Saccharomyces cerevisiae S288C: one gene and its partner. The main gene of each other region encodes a partner of the protein of the gene in region 2 in a complex. Each region holds a gene or a part of one and is shown on either strand. Other genes may lie near its edges.

What was found. The genes of interacting proteins can lie anywhere in the genome.
Region 1: PAP2 (region 2) and AIR1 share a complex: the UniProt entries of both Saccharomyces cerevisiae proteins name them as parts of the TRAMP complex.

The regions. Positions count from the first base shown.
Region 1 is NC_001141.2:210,423-214,875, reverse strand, and holds AIR1 (TRAMP complex RNA-binding subunit), read left to right. Parts: upstream 1-2,870; coding exon 2,871-3,953; downstream 3,954-4,453. Other genes in the region: threonine--tRNA ligase THS1, read right to left, coding at 173-2,377. UniProt on the Saccharomyces cerevisiae protein: Component of the TRAMP (TRF4) and TRAMP5 complexes which have a poly(A) RNA polymerase activity and are involved in a post-transcriptional quality control mechanism limiting inappropriate expression of genetic information.
Region 2 is NC_001147.6:99,764-103,729, forward strand, and holds PAP2 (non-canonical poly(A) polymerase PAP2), read left to right. Parts: upstream 1-1,711; coding exon 1,712-3,466; downstream 3,467-3,966. Other genes in the region: MSN1 (Msn1p), read left to right, coding at 46-1,194; PTH4 (Pth4p), read right to left, coding at 3,554-3,966. UniProt on the Saccharomyces cerevisiae protein: Catalytic subunit of the TRAMP complex which has a poly(A) RNA polymerase activity and is involved in a post-transcriptional quality control mechanism limiting inappropriate expression of genetic information.

The sequences.
Region 1 (4,453 bases), on a different chromosome or scaffold from region 2:
GAACACCATCTGCATACCAAATTGCTTTCTTCCATATTGAATTCGCGCACATCTTATCGAAGGAAAAAAAAAGAAGAAATAGTTAATAGAGGTAAGATTCCTTCATCATACTCATTTTATTCTTTACAAAACATAAATTAAATAAGTCAAAATTTAACTACATAAAATCTCATTAAGCTAAGACGTTGTCACCTCTCTTTTCATCTTTCAAGTTACGCAACTGTTTCAAAACTTCTTCAACAGAAACAGTAGCATTTTTACCCTGTTGTTCCATAACGTCTCTGTTTCTAATGTTAACAGATTTTTCATTCATTTCTTGTTCACCAACAATAAAAATGAAGTTATATTTTAGCATTTGCCCGTTTCTGACCTTCTTTTGCAGAGTGTTACCGGTCAAATCGACATCGGCATAGAAGCCAGCATCGTGCAATTTGTTACGGACGTCTTCAGCATACCCTTGGTACTTGACACCAACTGGCACAACCAAAACTTGACGTGGTGATAACCAAAATGGCCATTTACCAGCAAAATGCTCGGTCAAAATGGCAGTCATTCTTTCAACAGACCCTAAAATGGCACGATGGATCATGACCGGTCTTTCGTAACTCTCGCTATCTTGATCTTTAGATTTAAATTCCAATTCGAACCTGTTTGGCAATTGGAAATCTAATTGGATGGTGGCACATTGATGCCATCTTCTTAAAGCGTCAGAAATCATAATGTCAATCTTTGGACCGTAGAAAGCACCATCACCAGCATTGATCTCCCAGTTACCACCCCATTTCTTTAAGGCAGATTCTAATTTTGATTCAGCGGCATCCCAGGTTTCGATCTTTCCAACGTACTTTTCTGGTCTAGTGGACAATTCCATCTTAAATTCAAATCCAAAAACGCCGTAAATGTATTGCAAAAAGTTGAAAATATTTTCAATTTCAGACTCAATTTGGTCATGGGTACAGAAGATATGAGCATCATCTTGTTGGAATCTTCTGACACGAGTCAAACCAGACAAGGCACCAGAAAATTCATTTCTGTGGATAACACCGAAGTCTGCAACTCTCCATGGCAATTCTCTATAAGAACGTTCTCTAGACTTGAACATCAAACAATGACCTGGACAGTTCATTGGTTTTAGACCGAAAGTTTCCTTCTCTACTTCGAAAGTAAACATGTTTTCCTTGTAATTGGCCCAGTGACCTGAGGTTTCCCACAATTTGGAGTTGTACATGTTTGGAGTGATGACTTCTTCGTAACCTCTCTTACGGTATTCGGTTCTCAACAAGTCAACCAAAGTGTTGTAAATTCTAGTACCATGAGGTAACCAAAAGCAAGAACCTGGGGACATTTCATTGAATAAGAATAATTCTTGTTCTTTACCAATCTTTCTGTGATCTCTCATAGAGGCTTCCGCCAAGAACTTCAAATGAGCATCCATTAATTTTTTGTCTGGAAAAGAGATACCGTAAACTCTTTGTAAAGAGTCGTTTGTCGCATCACCTAAGAAATAACAAGAAGAGTTCTTTAATAGTTTGAAAGCTTTGATACGCCCAGTATGTGGGATATGAGGGCCGACACATAGATCAATCAATTTACCGCAACGGTAGACGGTAGTAGCACCTCCATCTGGAACCTTTGTCTGTACCAAGTAAGTCTTATACTTCGAATAATGAAACATTTTCAAAAGATCTTCTTTGGACATGACCAATCTTTCAAATTTTTGCTTTTGCTTGATAACATTCTTGGCAACGCCTTCCAATCCTGGGAAATCAGCTTGGGAGACGGTTCTTTCTGGAGATTCAGATATATCTTTCATACTATCTCTAACAGCCATTTCATAAAAGAACCCATCATCAGTTGGAGGACCTAAACAAATATGGGCACCTAGGTGGCACTCACAAGATTCACCCAAGACGTGGGCAGACGAATGCCAAAAGACCTTCTTACCTTCGTCAGATTCGAAATCTAGCAGTTCTAATTTGATTTCTTCGTTGGCTTCGCCTTCAAATGGTCTATCTAAGTCCCATAATTGACCATTAACCTTAGAAATACATAACCTGTCTGCTAAAGATTTAGAAATTCCTTTGGCAATATCCATCGGAGTGGTTTCCCAAGAAGTGGCTTCCTTAACGGCTCCATCCTTCAAGACAATCTTCAATGGAACACGTGGCATAGAAGCAACTTTATCATTGTATTCCTTTTGTAATCTGTCAAACATTTCAATTCTTTCCTCGATGAAAGTTGGTTCAGGATCCAAGTACAAGGACTGTTGCTTGGATTTTTTGTTTTCTTTCTTATTTGGTTTTACGGCATCATTACTACTATCCTTGACAGACAGCTTTTTGACTTGCTCAGTGACACCTGCTTCACTAGCACTCATCTCCGTTTTATTTTCTTGCTCTGTTAGCTGTTAATTTTTCGTTAACCTGTAATCTTTCAGATGACACATCATTTAATGCACGATTTATCTAACTTTCTTTTGTTGCCATCGCAAGTATTTTTTTCAAGTGAAAATTCCTCGAAAAAAATTTTTTAGCAAGATAGCCGTATATGATGATTTATACATATCACAAGGTAAGAGTCATTTAAACAGTAAAAAGAAAGCGTTTGCGTCAGCATATACAATGGCACATCTGTAAATTCATTTATATATTATATGAAAATGTGACTTCAATATTTCTAAAGTGACTTCCATAGGCGCTTGTCCTTTGTCTTTGTTTCTTGCTACTGTTAAAGCTCATTGACAGGCTTTTCAATTTCTTGGTCCATGAAAAAATGAAAAATTACTAAAAATTAGCGATGCGATGAGTGGGAAAGGTCCAACATTCTCACATGAGGAATACAAAGGAAGCGGACCACGGAGCTAAGATATTATGTCGACATTGTTATCTGAGGTAGAAAGTATCGATACTTTGCCGTATGTGAAGGATACAACACCGACAGGAAGTGACTCGTCATCATTTAATAAATTATTGGCTCCTTCCATAGAGGATGTAGATGCTAACCCAGAGGAACTGAGGACTTTACGTGGCCAAGGACGGTATTTTGGAATAACAGATTATGACTCAAACGGTGCGATAATGGAGGCAGAGCCAAAGTGTAATAATTGTTCGCAAAGAGGTCATTTGAAAAGGAATTGTCCCCATGTGATATGTACTTACTGCGGGTTTATGGATGATCATTACTCACAACACTGCCCTAAGGCTATTATTTGCACTAATTGTAATGCAAACGGCCATTATAAATCACAGTGTCCTCATAAATGGAAGAAGGTGTTCTGCACGCTTTGCAATAGCAAAAGACACTCAAGAGAAAGATGTCCTAGTATTTGGAGATCTTATTTATTAAAAACAAAAGATGCTAACCAAGGTGACTTCGATTTTCAAACAGTTTTCTGTTATAACTGTGGGAATGCCGGTCATTTTGGCGATGACTGTGCTGAAAGAAGGTCATCGAGAGTGCCGAACACTGATGGAAGTGCATTTTGCGGTGATAACTTAGCCACAAAATTTAAACAACACTATTTTAACCAATTGAAAGACTATAAACGTGAAGCTTCACAAAGGCAACACTTTGATAACGAACATGAATTCAACCTGCTTGACTATGAATATAACGACGATGCATACGACCTCCCTGGCTCAAGGACTTATAGAGATAAAATGAAATGGAAGGGCAAAGTGCAGTCAACAAGGAACAAAAATAGTAGCAATAATAGATATGAAAGCAGTAATAACAGGAAGAAGAAGTCACCATTTAGCGCACAGAACTACAAAGTGACGAAAAATAAAAGAGTTCAGACACACCCCTTAGATTTCCCCAGAAGTAGCCAAAACAACAGAACGAACGATTATTCGAGCCAGTTCAGCTATAATAGGGACGACTTCCCCAAGGGTCCTAAGAATAAGAGGGGCCGATCATCTTCTAACAAAAGCCAAAGAAATGGCCGTTATTGAGATTATATGTGAGTTTTTTTAATTTTTTTTCCATTCTCATTGCAGCAAACATATATATGTTTATTTTATAGGGATTTTTTGTATCGATAGAGCAGTACAAAGCAAAAAAAAAGTACATTGTTGGAGTCTCGTATTTCTTACTTACTGTCTTAGCAGTAGTAGAAGAGATTTGTACAAAAAAATATGGTCTCTAGCGGGATCGAACCGCTGATCCCCGCGTTATTAGCACGGTGCCTTAACCAACTGGGCCAAGAGACCAGATATTTCATATGTTCTGTTGTATTACGGGCTCGAGTAATACCGGAGTGTCTTGACAATCCTAATATAAACAGTCTTAGGGAAGTAACCAGTTGTCAAAACAGTTTATCAGATTAATTCACGGAATGTTACTTATCTTATATATTATATAAAATATGAATCATACTAAGTGGTGGAAGCGCGGAATCTCGGATCTAAACTAATTGTTCAGGCATTTATACTTTGGGTAGTTCAGCTAGGGA
Region 2 (3,966 bases):
AGAAACCAAATCAGAAAAGGAGATTATTTCAAGGTAGGCATCGAAATGGCAAGTAACCAGCACATAGGAGCTTCAAACCTAAATGAGAATGAGGCTATATTAACCAACCGCGTTGCTGAGCTGGAAAGGCGTATGTCGATGTTTGAGGGTATATTTCACGCGTTAAGTAACCGTCTCGATCTTCACTTTAAAAAATATGATGTAGTGGTAAACTCCCAACAGCAACAAATCAACGAACTGACCGCGTTTTTATCAACATTGCTGAATGACCAACAACGCCACGCTGAAATTCTCAGTGAAAAATTAAGCGGAACGTTGCATGGGGTGTCAGCTACGTCAATATCCTTAAGCCAAACTCTTGACCCACAAGGCTTCACTGATGGAACTACGGCACCAGGAGCTCCTAGGAATTATACTTCAGTGCCTATGAATAATGATCAAACTGCTCATCCGCAAAATGAAGGAGCTGTTAGTAATGAAACACTTTTTGAGGACATTTTGAATGGAAATTCACAAGAAAATGATAAGAGTCAACAACAAACTAACAGCTCAAATTCTATAAGCCAAGAAAATAATAGCACCAACCCTTCAGTGGACACTCGGTTCAACAAGCCGCAAAATTATAATTCCAATTTAGTCCCATCCTTGGAAGAGTATTCAGCAAATCCACCTAACAATGATGGTGGCCAAAGTCAAGGACTGTACATAAGCAGCAACTCTTCTCAATCACGGCAGTCTCCTAATCTCCAGAAAGTTTCTCCTAACCATGAAAATGCGGTTGAATCAAATGCACAAGAGAGCGTGCCGACATTTGAGGAGGAACAGTATGAGACTAAAACAGGATTGAAACGGAAACGAATAGTCTGCACAAGACCCTTCGAATTTATCAAGTCACCACACTCTGTGATGGAGGTTTGGAAGGAGTATACAGAAGGTGTTAACGGGCAGCCTTCTATAAGGAAAATGGAAGCTCTTTATCAAACGGCATGGAGGCGAGATCCAGCAGTAAATAAAAGATATTCGAGAAGAAAGGTTCTTTGGAAAGCCATTCAAACTGGCCTTAATCGTGGGTATTCATTAAACTATGTTGTTGAAATATTAGAAAACTCAAGATATGTTAATGATAAACAGAAGGTTAAACAACCTATTGGTTGGTTATGCCACAGTTCTCATATTCCAGAGACTTTGAAGTGACATTTGCTTCTTGTGTATTCACCTTTATCCCAAATTAGCCCTTGTAACACTTATGCTTTTCTTAATAAATTAATAATTGGACTTTCCTTTAAAGTGGGTTGTATCTGTAACAATAATCTCTAATAATATCCTATAAAACTCAGAAGTCAGCCAACAACAATTGTATACGTATACATATCTATATAATATGCCTTGTACTTTACGCTCTTGAATTTAGAATAGCTGAACACCTAACTGAATTTAAGTAAAGGATCCCAAGCGTGAGATATTTAGGTTTACTCAGTTTTCTTATCTTGCCTTTTGATTATCACGTTGAGTGTCGAAGAAACCTGTATTCATCCTCGGCTTCTTGTATATGATTCTAAAATAATGTGTGAAAAAAAAAATAAAATAAAAAAAAGAGGAAAATAATATAGAATAACTATTAAGTTTCATTAAAAAAAAACCATTTGAATATACGACCAAAAACGTTACGCTTTCATAAAGTGTGAATAAGCAAGGGAACTATACTTGAAATATGGGGGCAAAGAGTGTAACAGCCTCTTCTTCAAAGAAGATTAAAAACCGGCATAATGGGAAAGTGAAAAAGAGCAAGAAAATCAAGAAAGTACGGAAACCACAGAAGTCTATATCCTTGAACGACGAAAACGAAGTAGAGATTTTACCTAGTCGTAATGAGCAAGAGACAAATAAATTACCTAAAGATCACGTCACGGCGGATGGAATTCTTGTATTAGAACATAAATCTGATGATGATGAAGGATTCGATGTCTACGATGGACATTTCGATAACCCTACTGATATTCCCTCGACTACTGAAGAAAGTAAAACGCCTTCATTAGCAGTGCACGGGGATGAGAAGGATCTTGCTAACAATGATGATTTTATCTCTCTTTCTGCTAGTTCTGAGGATGAGCAAGCCGAACAGGAAGAGGAGAGGGAGAAACAAGAATTAGAAATTAAAAAAGAAAAGCAAAAGGAAATCCTTAATACTGATTATCCATGGATTTTAAATCATGATCACTCCAAACAGAAAGAAATCTCGGACTGGCTAACCTTTGAAATCAAGGATTTTGTTGCCTATATCTCACCAAGTCGTGAAGAAATTGAAATTCGTAATCAAACCATAAGTACAATAAGAGAGGCTGTCAAACAGTTATGGCCAGATGCTGATTTGCACGTGTTTGGATCATATTCTACCGATTTGTATTTGCCTGGTTCCGATATTGATTGCGTGGTAACGAGCGAACTTGGTGGTAAGGAAAGTAGGAATAACTTGTATTCGTTAGCAAGCCATTTAAAAAAAAAAAATTTGGCAACAGAGGTTGAAGTTGTCGCCAAAGCTCGCGTTCCAATCATCAAGTTTGTTGAGCCACATTCAGGGATCCACATAGATGTTTCATTTGAGAGAACAAATGGTATTGAAGCAGCAAAGCTTATTAGAGAGTGGTTGGACGATACCCCCGGCCTGAGAGAATTAGTCCTTATCGTAAAACAATTCCTACACGCAAGAAGACTAAATAATGTGCATACCGGTGGTCTTGGTGGGTTTAGTATTATATGTCTTGTCTTTTCCTTTTTGCATATGCACCCACGTATAATAACTAACGAAATAGATCCAAAGGACAACTTGGGTGTGCTCCTGATAGAGTTTTTTGAACTTTATGGGAAAAATTTTGGTTATGATGATGTTGCACTGGGATCATCGGATGGATATCCAGTATACTTTCCAAAATCGACATGGAGTGCTATTCAGCCTATTAAAAATCCATTTTCATTGGCCATTCAAGATCCAGGTGATGAATCAAATAACATCAGTCGAGGGTCCTTTAACATTCGAGATATTAAAAAGGCATTTGCTGGTGCTTTTGATCTGTTGACGAATAGATGTTTTGAATTACATTCAGCAACTTTTAAGGATCGATTGGGGAAAAGTATATTGGGAAACGTGATCAAATATCGTGGAAAGGCAAGAGATTTCAAGGATGAAAGAGGTCTAGTACTGAATAAGGCTATTATTGAAAATGAAAACTATCACAAGAAACGTAGCAGAATAATTCATGATGAAGATTTTGCCGAAGATACAGTTACCTCCACAGCCACCGCTACCACAACAGATGATGATTATGAAATAACGAACCCACCTGCTAAGAAGGCTAAAATAGAAGAAAAACCTGAAAGTGAACCGGCCAAGAGAAATAGTGGAGAGACATATATCACTGTCTCTAGCGAAGATGATGATGAAGATGGATATAATCCTTATACCCTTTAATATGTGCCTTTTTGTTTAAATGATGCACTGAACTGTACATCACTGTGTACCTGGATAGAATGTGTGTTTAAATATGCGTATTATGTATTAATAATTGAATTTAATTTTACTTCTGTTTTTCTTTTTATCGCTGTGAACTTTTTTGTCAAGAAGTCGCTCTTTGTTGGCTTTCTCTTTTATTTTATTCCATTTCTTTGAGGTCTCAGCAGTGGTATCATTAGGAAATTGGCACGTTTGCCGAATTTCTTGAACCAACTTCTCGAAGCATTTTAATTTGTTGGTTTCCCTTGACCTAGTTTCATCAGATTGAATTACTATAGAATCGCTGCCCTTAGCGTAGTATCGAAACCTGCCGCTACTTAAGATGTTTCTCACTTCCTGAGGAATCCAAGCACAGTTTGATAAACCAGAAAGTGTCAAAGTACATTTACTATTTACCTTATTAACGTTTTGGCCTCCTGGCCCGCTGGCTCTATCGTAACGTAAAATAAATTGATTTA